Canis lupus familiaris: one gene and its partner. The protein of the gene in region 1 interacts with the protein of each later gene in a pairwise test. Links are inferred from orthologs where the notes say so. Each region holds a gene or a part of one and is shown in the gene's direction. Other genes may lie near its edges.

What was found.
Region 2: the proteins of IL16 (region 1) and GABPB1 interact in binary tests that used the Homo sapiens proteins (3 or more experiments, as listed by UniProt). The two-hybrid records come from large-scale screens. The link is inferred for Canis lupus familiaris from reciprocal best matches to the Homo sapiens genes IL16 and GABPB1.

What each region holds. Positions count from the first base shown.
Region 1 is NC_049224.1:57,050,059-57,055,884, reverse strand, and holds the start of IL16 (pro-interleukin-16), read left to right. Parts: upstream 1-1,889; 5' UTR 1,890-2,343; coding exon 2,344-2,383; intron 2,384-5,826. UniProt on the Homo sapiens protein: Interleukin-16 stimulates a migratory response in CD4+ lymphocytes, monocytes, and eosinophils. Primes CD4+ T-cells for IL-2 and IL-15 responsiveness. Also induces T-lymphocyte expression of interleukin 2 receptor. Ligand for CD4.
Region 2 is NC_049251.1:16,528,737-16,533,548, reverse strand, and holds the end of GABPB1 (GA-binding protein subunit beta-1), read left to right. Parts: intron 1-2,240; coding exon 2,241-2,393; 3' UTR 2,394-3,750; downstream 3,751-4,812.

The sequences.
Region 1 (5,826 bases):
AATCTGCCTACCACTCCGAATAAAAACTCCTTTGTCAAAGGCTTAATTCATATGATCAAAAGCCATGACTTTCAAAATTATAGTCCTCACTATCAACTTGACAAAATCTATTTAGGACTAAGTTCTAAAGCCAGTGACTCAATTAAAAAATTATTTTTTAAAGTGAAATTATTATTATTATTATTATTATTATTATTATTATTATTTTAAAAAGATTTTATTTATTTATTTATGAGCGACACAGAGAGAGAGAGAGAGGCAGAGACACAGGCAGAGAGAGAAGCAGGCTCTATGCAGGGAGCCCAATGCAGGACTTGATCTTGAGTCTCCAGGATCAGGCCCTGGGCTGAAGGCGGCACTAAACTGTTGGGCCTCCCAGGCTGCCCAGAAAAATTATTTTTAATTAAAAATTTTCTACCGTGCTCTAGGTGGTATGAATGGAAAGGTATAGCTGCTCCCTGAATTGTGGGGGTATCAGCATGGACACTGGGAAGTTCGTAGAGGAAAACACCCATAATTTTACTTCTCCAAATTTAATCTTTCACATCTATAGAGCATACACTCTGCAGTTCGCACCCTATTCTTTTCATGAGGCAATATAATGCAGACATCTTTCTATGATAGTAAAGCTTACTTTATCGCATCATTTTAATTTCTGCAAAGCGTTCCCTGTTTACGTAGCCCTGTCTCTCTGTGTTGCTATGGCCGCGTCCTGCTAGGAGGCAAAGCCAGGTTCTGGTCCCCGCGGTGCTGGTGACAGAGCCCCGGTGTCCTGCAGCTTCGGGACCTGGGCTATTGCTTGGTTGCTCAGGGCCAGGTAGGGCGGGCAGCGGGGCCACGCCAGCCCGGATCCCAACCCTCATCCCAGGATGGGGATGACTGTCAGGGAGCTGTTCCTACTCCAGGTGCTGACAGCAGAGGTTTTTCTGGCAACCTGTGGCACTGGTCTGAAGAATGATTATTTATGGGAAAACGTGGGGCGTATGTGTTGGTAGAGGGACCATCGTGACCTGGGCGTGGTTTGAGCACAGCGGTCGTAACTCGGGAGCCTTTGACTCCAAGGACCTGAGCCGTGGTGGCCTTGACCCTGGTCCAGGGGCTGTCGGTGGTGGTGGCCATGGCTGGGGCCTAACCTGGGAAGACTGGGGGCTCTTGGCAGGTGACAGGTAACTCCGGACCTGGACCAGGTCTGTGTCGCTTGCTTCCCTGGTGGGTTTTTCTCCCTATCTGATTGATCAGGCTTTCCTTTCAGTCCAATCATCTATGTCTGCGTTCCCAAAACCATCACATTCTTCCCCAGCTTCCAGCTCTGACTCTTTGCCCACTTATTGTATATTCTTTTGGTCTTTTCGGTGGGGAATCCAAGGATTTATATAACCCGGCAATCAAGTCGGTCACTTAAAATAATAGTACATCTTGTCCAAGTCTAAAAATAAAATCTCCTGGTATGAGAAGGCAAACAGGGGAAATTGGGTACAGTGGGCAGAAAACATTTTTACAGCTCAGTTAGCCAGGGCTCGTGCCCACTTTTCTTTTATGCTTGCTTGTCCCGACTCGGGCGGGAGTCAGAGTGCCTTCTGTTTGTTCTGATGAAAGGCAGCCTCCACCTTCCCCGGAGCCCAACTGCCCTTCTGGGGACACAGGCTGCATTCACCACCAGCCGCTCTGCCCAAGCCCTTAGCAGATTTTATGAAAGGCGTTTTCACTTGGATTAAACAGGCGCTGTGTTTGTGTGTGGTGTGTGTGTGTGTGTGTGTGAAGGAGAAAATGAATCACTTCAACTTTGGGCAGAGATTTTAGGTGTTGTGTTTGTCCCTTGCAATTACATAAACACACCAGAACTCATTTAAAAAAAGAAGAAAAAAAAAAGTTGGGAGGTGGGGAGCCGAGTCCAGTGCTTGGGATGATCTAAACCGTTTAGCACATTTTCCATACATTCGACCTCAGAGAGGGTTGTGTTCAGTCCGCTCCCAACAGAGTCTGAGTCCAAAGGAAAGTTTGAGGTTTTACATTTCTGTTTGTGGTACAGGAAAAGGCTTATGATCTGAGGGCTTGATTCAGTGAAATAACATTGCCTTCATGAACATTTGCTTCGCAAGAAAGGCAGGGGTTGGAAGCAACCGTTGTGAGACTTTAAAGATTTGCTGGCAGAGGGAAAGGGATTTTTTTCCCTCCCTCCCTGCCGGGGGGAAAACCAGTTCTAACGAGGAGCTACTTCGGAGTTTTAACTCCTATTCAAATATTCCTTGCCCAGGAGCTGCCGGTGATCCCCGGGACTTCTCAATCTGGCTGGGGCTCTGAGGGGCTTTTTGGCTCAGCCCCATCCTCAAAGCCCTGCACGGCATGAGTTTGCAGAAGAGAATCTTCCCTCGGAGGGAGAATGGTGAGTGCAGCTTCTTCTCGGGGGCTCCCGGGGAGCTGGGGATGGAGGGCTTGCCTCTTCTTGACATCCTCCCGGAGGGGTATGGAAAAGCATGATTTTGATAATGCCATAGAGTGTGTGTGTGTGTGTGTGTGTGTGTGTGTGTGTTTGTGCGCGTGCGCGCTCGCCCGTGTGTGTGCACGTGTGGTGCAGCAGGACACATCTCTGTCTGTCTGCATTGTCCTTGTAGAGCTGCCTGTGTGCTCTCTAGGCTGGTTGGCAGAGAGGTGACGGGTGAGGGCAGGTCCCCCGAGGGGATGAGAACAGCCGGGGCAGTTGGCTTTTATGAGCCCTCGCTTCCTCTGTGAGTGTGGCTCTCAATGAGCAGGGGCAGGGACATCAGTAGATAAATGGGCAGTTGTCAGGGTCCCCACTCGCTGAGCTCTGGTCCCAGCAGGAAACAGGACAGGAGAGGGAGCTGCTTGGTGTCTGGGGAGAATGGAGCAGGGGACCATCTGAGCCTTGCAGAGCTGGGCATGGGGAGGGCAGAGGTGAGGCTGGGAGGGGCCTGAGTCTCCCGGCCAGACTCCCTGCCTTCTTGCAGGGACAGCCCAGTAGATCCGAGATCATTTCTTTAGCCGACCTCCTTTTGCTCTGGAAACACAAATAAACAGGCACCAGGGAGGGTTTTAACCCCTCTGCCCAACGTTTAAAGTTAACACTGGCAAAGCTTCAGCCCTGTTGTAACTTTGGCATCAGAGAGTAAACACATGGTTTTCTTTAAAAAGGGGGAATGAGACAAGTCAAAGGCACACTCTGAGTGTTCCAGCTCCAGGGAGATATGGACGATAGAGCCAGAGCCCAGAGGCCAATTGGTTAGGTTGCATCAAAGCATCTCTGAAGTCTGAAGGAGGGCAGTGGGACGTGGGGACCAAGAACCAGGCTGTGGGGTCCAGCCACCCGGGATGCGGTCTTGGCGCTGTGATGCACAGGCTAGTTGGTTTGGGGGAAGGCATTCAACCTCTCCAAGGCTCGGTTTCCTCCTCTGCAAAATGGATATTGTGAGTTCATTCCTACCTCTTGGGACTATAGAAGCAATCACGGAGATCACACATGGAGATGGCCAGAGCATCGTATGAGTGACACCCAGAATAGGGCAGCTCCTGTACATGCTCCTGCCCTATGGGACCATGGCAGCCCTCACAGAGCACTCAGGGCTTGGGGATGGAGGGAGCCCTCCATGGCCAGGCAGCCATGCACCCTCTCTCTTGCAGCCAGGGGGTCTAGCATTTGGAATGTCTCCCTTTGGCTATGGACCACATGGGTGCATTTACTGGGGAGTCGTCAAGGGCTGGGATTGATCTGGTATTCAGTAGGTGCTCAATATTTGGTGAAACCATTTTGTTTCTGGGGAGGCCTTGCCGCTTCGTGTCCCTGGCCACATTGCCATGAGTGGTTGGGTTTTCTGGTAAGCCTCTGAGACAGCAATTCGTGTAGGAAGGTCATTGGAGAGTGTGTCTGGGGACACCATCTGTGTGTCCTTCTCCCAGAAGGAGATGCTGGGCAGGATGCAGCTATGATCCAGCTGATCCCATGGGTTTTGTACACCTGCAATGACCCATCATGTCTGTGGGCTGCCCTAGGATCAGGGCACAGCCTGGGGCAAGGCAGCTGTCTTCAGCAGAGGGTCATTCTTGGAAAGAGATTCTGACTGTTACAAGTGGCTCTTCATCAGCTGTGGAAATAAGTACCTCGGTCCTGGGTCTGGGAGCTAATCTGGGAGACACCCTATAATGTCACTTAATAGTGATGAGTAAGTCCCATTCTCTGAGTTCAGCTGTAGGATAATTGAGGGTTAAATGCACAGACACCTGTCCAGTTAGATCCTTACAGTGCAACGTGACCTGGGGAAGCCCATTTCTGTACCAGGGGGCTCACTGTCCTTGTCTAGAAGGTGGGTGAAGGCTGGTGGAGGAGAATTGCCTCTAAGAAGGCTTCTAGTCCTGCCATCTCACAGATACACATTCTGAGCACATGACGTAGCGCTCGCTTGTCTACCCAACCGGCGGTCACATGATGTCCTCTGCAGGTGCCTCCTTTCCTTCAGCTGGAAATGGAATCCCAGGACCGGGGGACCCTTGTGCCTCTCCATGACTGGCGTGGGCAGGGAGGGTTTGCAGAGGGAGGCTCTGTGTGGGGCTGGAGCATCAGGAGTGGGGTCTGTGATCAAGGGAGAAGTAAAGCCATCTGAGGGACCGCCATGCTTCTTTGATAGTTGAGAGCTACGTGGTGTCACCCAAGACAAGTGTGGATGTACTGAGTCTACCTTATTGCCCTCCCCACCCTACCACCCATTTCCTATTTCTGTTTCAAGCTGCAAAGAATGAAGTCACTTTCTCAAGCATTTAGAACTCATTTTCAGCCATTTATTTAGAACATTCTAGGCTGGGATGCCTGGGTGGCTCAGGTTGTGATCTCAGGGTCCTGGGATTAAGTTCCATATTGGGCTTCCCACAGAGACCCTACTTCTCCCTCTGTCTGTGTCTCTGCCTCTCTCTCTCTGTGTCTCTCATAAATAAATACATAATAAAATCTTTAAAAAAAAAGAACATTCTAGGTTGCAGGCACTAGGCTGGGTTCTGGAGATCTAATGGGTGTCACGAGCCTGGCTGTTTACGCAGATGTGTGTAAATCTATAGAGAAAGAGGGTTAGGTGCATTGGGGTGCTCTGATGGGGAACTAACCCAGTGGGTCAGGGGGGCTTCCCTGCAGGGGTGTTGTTTGAGCTGTTTTCTGAAGGATGTGCAGGAATTGGGTGGGGGTAGGGGTGGGAAAGCAAGCTTTAGGTAAAGGGAACAGAACCTCATAGGGCAGGGATGAGAAAAAAGAACTACCTCAAATCTCACCAGCTTATGAGCCACTGTGAGCATTTTTAGTATACTTCCACCTGTTTTCTCTGCAGCATTTAAGAAAAATAATCATGGTGACTTGTTAGCTCAGGAAATACAAGCTTGTGCTGGAGGGGAGAGGCCTCAAGAAACTCCTTTGTGAGCATGAGTCACTCACCTGTGTTCCCCACACCTGGGGCGCCGGCCCCCAGGTGCACATCCCGGAAGCGTCTCTGTGACACGGGCCTCTCTCCCTCCTGAGCATCCCGCAGCACCAGGCACAGGCTGCTTTGACCTTCCCCATGCCCCTGGGAGGTGAACACGGTTGTCTTTACTTTACAGGTGAATAGCAATGAGGCAGCCACACAGAGTCGAGCCGAGGCGGGTCTGTTTCTAAAGCCCGTGTCCTCGGCGTTCTGTAGGTCCTGTGGCCGAGCCGCGTCAACGGCGACCCTCACACGCACGCATCCTGCTCCTGGACGGTGGGGCTTGTCGGTTCCTGCAGAGTTAGCCGAACCTCCAGCTCTCTGGCCCCAGAAACCCACATCAGATGCCTGTGCCACAACTGGTTTACCC
Region 2 (4,812 bases), on another chromosome or scaffold:
CTCAAGTGTCAGTCTGTGCACTATTCATGTATGAAACAACCAAATTACTGTTTATGTTAAGGAAATGTCTTGCATATGGTATATGTTCAGTAAACATTTTAACAAATAAATTTGTAAACAAAGGATCTCTGAGTAAAATAAGAAGTGATATTTTCCACTTTTTAGAGATTTTTATTTTTTTTTTTGAAAATCAGATGGCAAGAAGATTCTCTCCCCAAACACCTATATTCTTGAGAAGTAAAAAATGTAAACACTTAAAAAAAACCTTTAGTAATGTTAACTATGCCTTCAATCTTGAGGATTAAATGTACTCAAGGAGTAGTGCTTAAGGACTTTTATCTTTCAGATTTACAGATACAGTCAAGAAATGCAGTGTAACCTGAATCTTTTATTTGGCCTAGTATGCAGAAGGGAACTGTCTTTTCATTTATATGAAGATATATTCTAATTGAAATAAAAATATGCAATAAGGAAAACAAACTGTATTTCCTGTTAGATTACCTCAGTTTGCTTTCATCTTCTGAGTAATTGTGAATCCCTTGCTGTTTCTAAATGTTAATGAATAGCTAGTATGACGAGATATCTTAGAGAATGTGTTCCAATATTTCTTACCAAATTCAAAACTTTCCTTACCAAAAGATCTTATTTCTTAACACATGTAAAATTTTAAAACACTTATGCATGGGCATGAGTACTCCAGAGGTGGCAATCTAGCTCCCGGAGAAGCAGCACCCCTCTCCTACCTTTTCCATTGGTGTGCTCAAAGTCCTCCATAGTTCACTGCCAAGGTAGTGGTGTTGATTGTTTACCTGAGGCTCGACTCCTGGGTGTCCTTTCTGACTCGTTCCTACTCGGCCATCTTGCCTGGAGTAAGGGTAAGAAGTGGGTAAAAAATGGGTAGGTAGCAGGGTAAGATGTGGGCATTTCTTAAATTGGAGATGAAGGATGCATACATTTCTTGTACATTTTATGTAAATGGAAGACTTGGAGACTACATGTGTAATCAGTCATCCCCACATTTGGTGGATCCAGGGGAAAAATATATGTTGGATTTAGCTTTATTCCCAATATGGGGAAGGGAACAGGATCAAAGAAGGAAGGAGTATTATATTTGCTCCTCCTTGGAGACCATGTGAATAGTGAAAGGGAGGGAATCTTTTGGTGTTCACAATGGACGAGTTGAGGAAGCAGTGGAAGAGACCTCCTTACTGTCCTCTTCCCCAGTACGCCCCTCACCTTCAGTTTCCTCTGGTCAAGTGTCCTGTCCAGTGTGAATCTGGCATCTCTTAGGATCAATAATGGTCCCACCCTGAGTCCCCCACCCATCCCACTAAGAGGTCCCAGGCCTCTTAATGAAGTTGAGCTTAGGCCTGTGCAGGTTGAGCTTTTGTCCATGTACTAGAGATGTGAGAAAGGAGTCTTTGCAATTTTTTCCCTTAGGCAACTGAATAGGGGCAGAGTGAGGAGGAGAAAAGGGTGTCATTTTTATTGGACTAGACTTGTGTTTAGCTCCTACTTTATTGAGGAATTTAATACATATATTTTATATTTGTATAATTTAATGAATCACAGTAGAGAAATTAGTATTTTATTGGTTTGTAAAATAGGATAATTTAGAAAACACTAATCTAGACCAACAACACTCTTCATTTTAGAGATGAGGAATCCTGCTTGTTACCAGAGGGGAAGATAGTATTAAAAGCAGTAGTATTACAATCTCATAAACCCAGTTGTGTTATCATGGAAAAGCTATGTCGTCTGGAAGCATTGTTTTCCTCATCTGTAAAATGGGCATCATCACTGTCTTAGAGGCTTGTTATTGGAAATCACCTTATTTACTCACATGATGAGTACTCAATAAGTGTTAACTGTTTTATAATTTATTATACCTGTACATCAAAACATCACAGAGATGTGAAGAGGTAATATTTCTCTCTTAAAGCTCTTCACTAGTCTTTATCATACATATAAAAGCACAAGTCCACAATCTGGGTTCATTATGTTAATCTTATTTTTAATTAGGGAATGATTCCTTGAGGTCAGAAACTAATCTATGTCATAGCGTGGAACACAAAATTTGGAGCTTTAATTATCAGTGAATTGGTAGGGCAAGATGTCTCGCAAATATCAACAGGTGGCTACATCTAGCTCCTACAGATTTTTCTGCTTGAAGGATGCATGCTTGTATGTGTTAATCATGTATTCATGCAAAAATTGAAAAAACCTTTTTTTTTAATTAGGAGAGAGAAGCTCTTCAGAAACAGCTGGATGAAGCAAATCGAGAAGCACAAAAATACCGACAGCAGCTTCTAAAGAAAGAGCAGGAAGCAGAGGCCTACAGACAAAAATTAGAAGCTATGACTCGTCTTCAGACTAATAAAGAAGCTGTGTAGTTGAAATGAACACATAATTTGAATTTACTTTTGGTTAAGAAAGAACACAGTCTTGAACTGTACACAGCAAGGTGCAGTCGCCGGAAGCCAGGATAACAGAAGAGACTACAGATCGATGATCGGACTTAAGCCATGAGCTCTGAATTCTTGTAACATAAAACTTTACTTTAGAAGTTGTGAAATGTATTTAAAACTGAATTCTGTAAATAGTTTTTGTTTTTTTACAGTTCCAAATGAGTTATAAAGATTGTTGAAGAGATCCAAAAACACAATAAGCCACTGTTTTTGTGAATTCTTTTTGATTTTAGTATGAACCTTAATTTCTCAGACACAGAACAGTTTTAAGGGTGATCGTTGTTGATTAGACCAAACGTTATGTAATAATTATGTGGTGGACTGATGCTGGAATTACTCCTGTAGGTATAAACTTCTATATGAAGAGAAGATTTCTCCCAGGAAATCTTTGTACAGCTTTAAGTTGTCTCAGATTCTCTGAAAACATTTTTTAGAAAGCAAATTTTTATATTTGTTCAATTTCAGCTATACCCAAGTAGATTTACATGTATATGAAGCAAATATTTTTTAAAATTTCTGTTTGTACATATTCTGCATGTTTTATAATTTCAAAATGCATCACTTGCATAGGTATTTTTCCCACACAGATGATGAAAGTTAACTAGGGGGAAAAAAATCCTTTTATTCGGTAGGTCATTGAAAGTTAAGTAAGCTAGCAGCTGGTTTTATTGGAATGACAATGTTCTTAGAAGGAGCAGCTTACAAGATAACTTGAATTTGCAAACTGCAAAATCTATTCTTTTTTGAAAATTTCATAGTGGGGATGTGAAACTGTATTCTGTGCCTTCCATCATGATTTCCACATGAAAGCACTTTAAGGCACTGAATTTTAAGATAATGTTTTGGAATACTCAGAGTATATGGGTTTCTGAAATATTTCATGGACTCATTTCCCCCAAGAAATTATTCTTATGGAAAAAAATGCTTTTGTATGTAGAACAAGAAATTTTGTACTACGGTGATGCTATAGATATGTCTAACATAACTTTTACTTTTCCCTGTGAAAGCTGTATGTCTGTGCTGTGACTTGCTCTCATCACAATATTGTTGAATTCCACATTAATGTATGGACATTAAACTCTGACATACTGTTCATTCTTTTTTTGTAAAACAGAACTTCAAACTCTTTTTTTCTTGCTTTGTTTTTTAATGTCTTTTTGCTTTATGAAAATGTTTAACCCTAAGACCCTTCTAGATTACCATCTGTATAAAGAAGCAATTACCCTTAAAACTGTACTCTGGCCTACTTTTCTATTTTACAATTAAATATCTTTTCCACATATGTTCAGTGTAGACTTATATTTTGACCACACATTAAAAATGTTGTTCTGTATATACAGCCATATCCCACCAGAATGAAAATATATGTTCCTCACACTGTGTCTTAAAAATCCTTGAGGTAATTTCTTGGGAATCTGCTAGCTCTTTCACTGGCATTATTATAGTTGTTAAGGTGATAAAAGGATCTGTGAATTTAGGAAGGTTTGAGAACAAATATTAGAATTCCAGAAAGGAGAGAAAAAGACCTTTTCAGTTTTTCACTAAATTTGACATATATTTTAAATGATCTAAAGCTAGGCCATATTTTCAGTAACATGGAGCTACTTTTTCTATGTTTTTTATTGCTTTAGTGCATTTATGAGTTTTTTAGGCAGAGTGCCTTTGACATATGCAGTTTTGGAGTGAAGGACCAATATGCTTACCCCAGAGTGCAAGCCACTTTAGACTTTGCTTCCTGGCCAGATTAGCCCCAAAGAGCCCTGAGACAGTGTTGGAAATGAACCCCTGAAAGCTAAATTAATTCATTCTTTGACTCCTAGTATCCTGTTGTGCTAGAGACTTTACCTGGTTACAAGAAGGAATTTTGATTTATAGTAACATTTGACATAGATGGGAACAAATAATTGGTACTTAAAATGTGTAAGTCTATGATCGCATCAGGTAAATACTCAGATGTCTTTGGGAGTTCACTTTTTTCCAGAGTGTTATTGTTGGACTTGGATATTCTCAGTCATCTATACCTGATTCAGTGTGCCGCAAAATCAATAGACAAGAATCTATAACAAATTTAAAATGTTTTTTTTTTTCTTTTTAGCTTCTATTTTTAGGTGGGCTGGAAAAGCTTTGCATTCTTATTCTCAATGGTGTTTTGAGCAGATTAAAGGAACTGACAAAATAAAATAAAAGTTTTCAGAAGTCCGTACTTAATGTGTTTCCCCTACCTGATGATGGTTTTATAGTTAAATATCATTTGGTTATTACATTGATGGTTCATTCTTTCTACTGTTGTGTGAACAAACACCTTTTAGAGTAGCCTTACTCAACTAGGGTTCTGGGAGGGAAT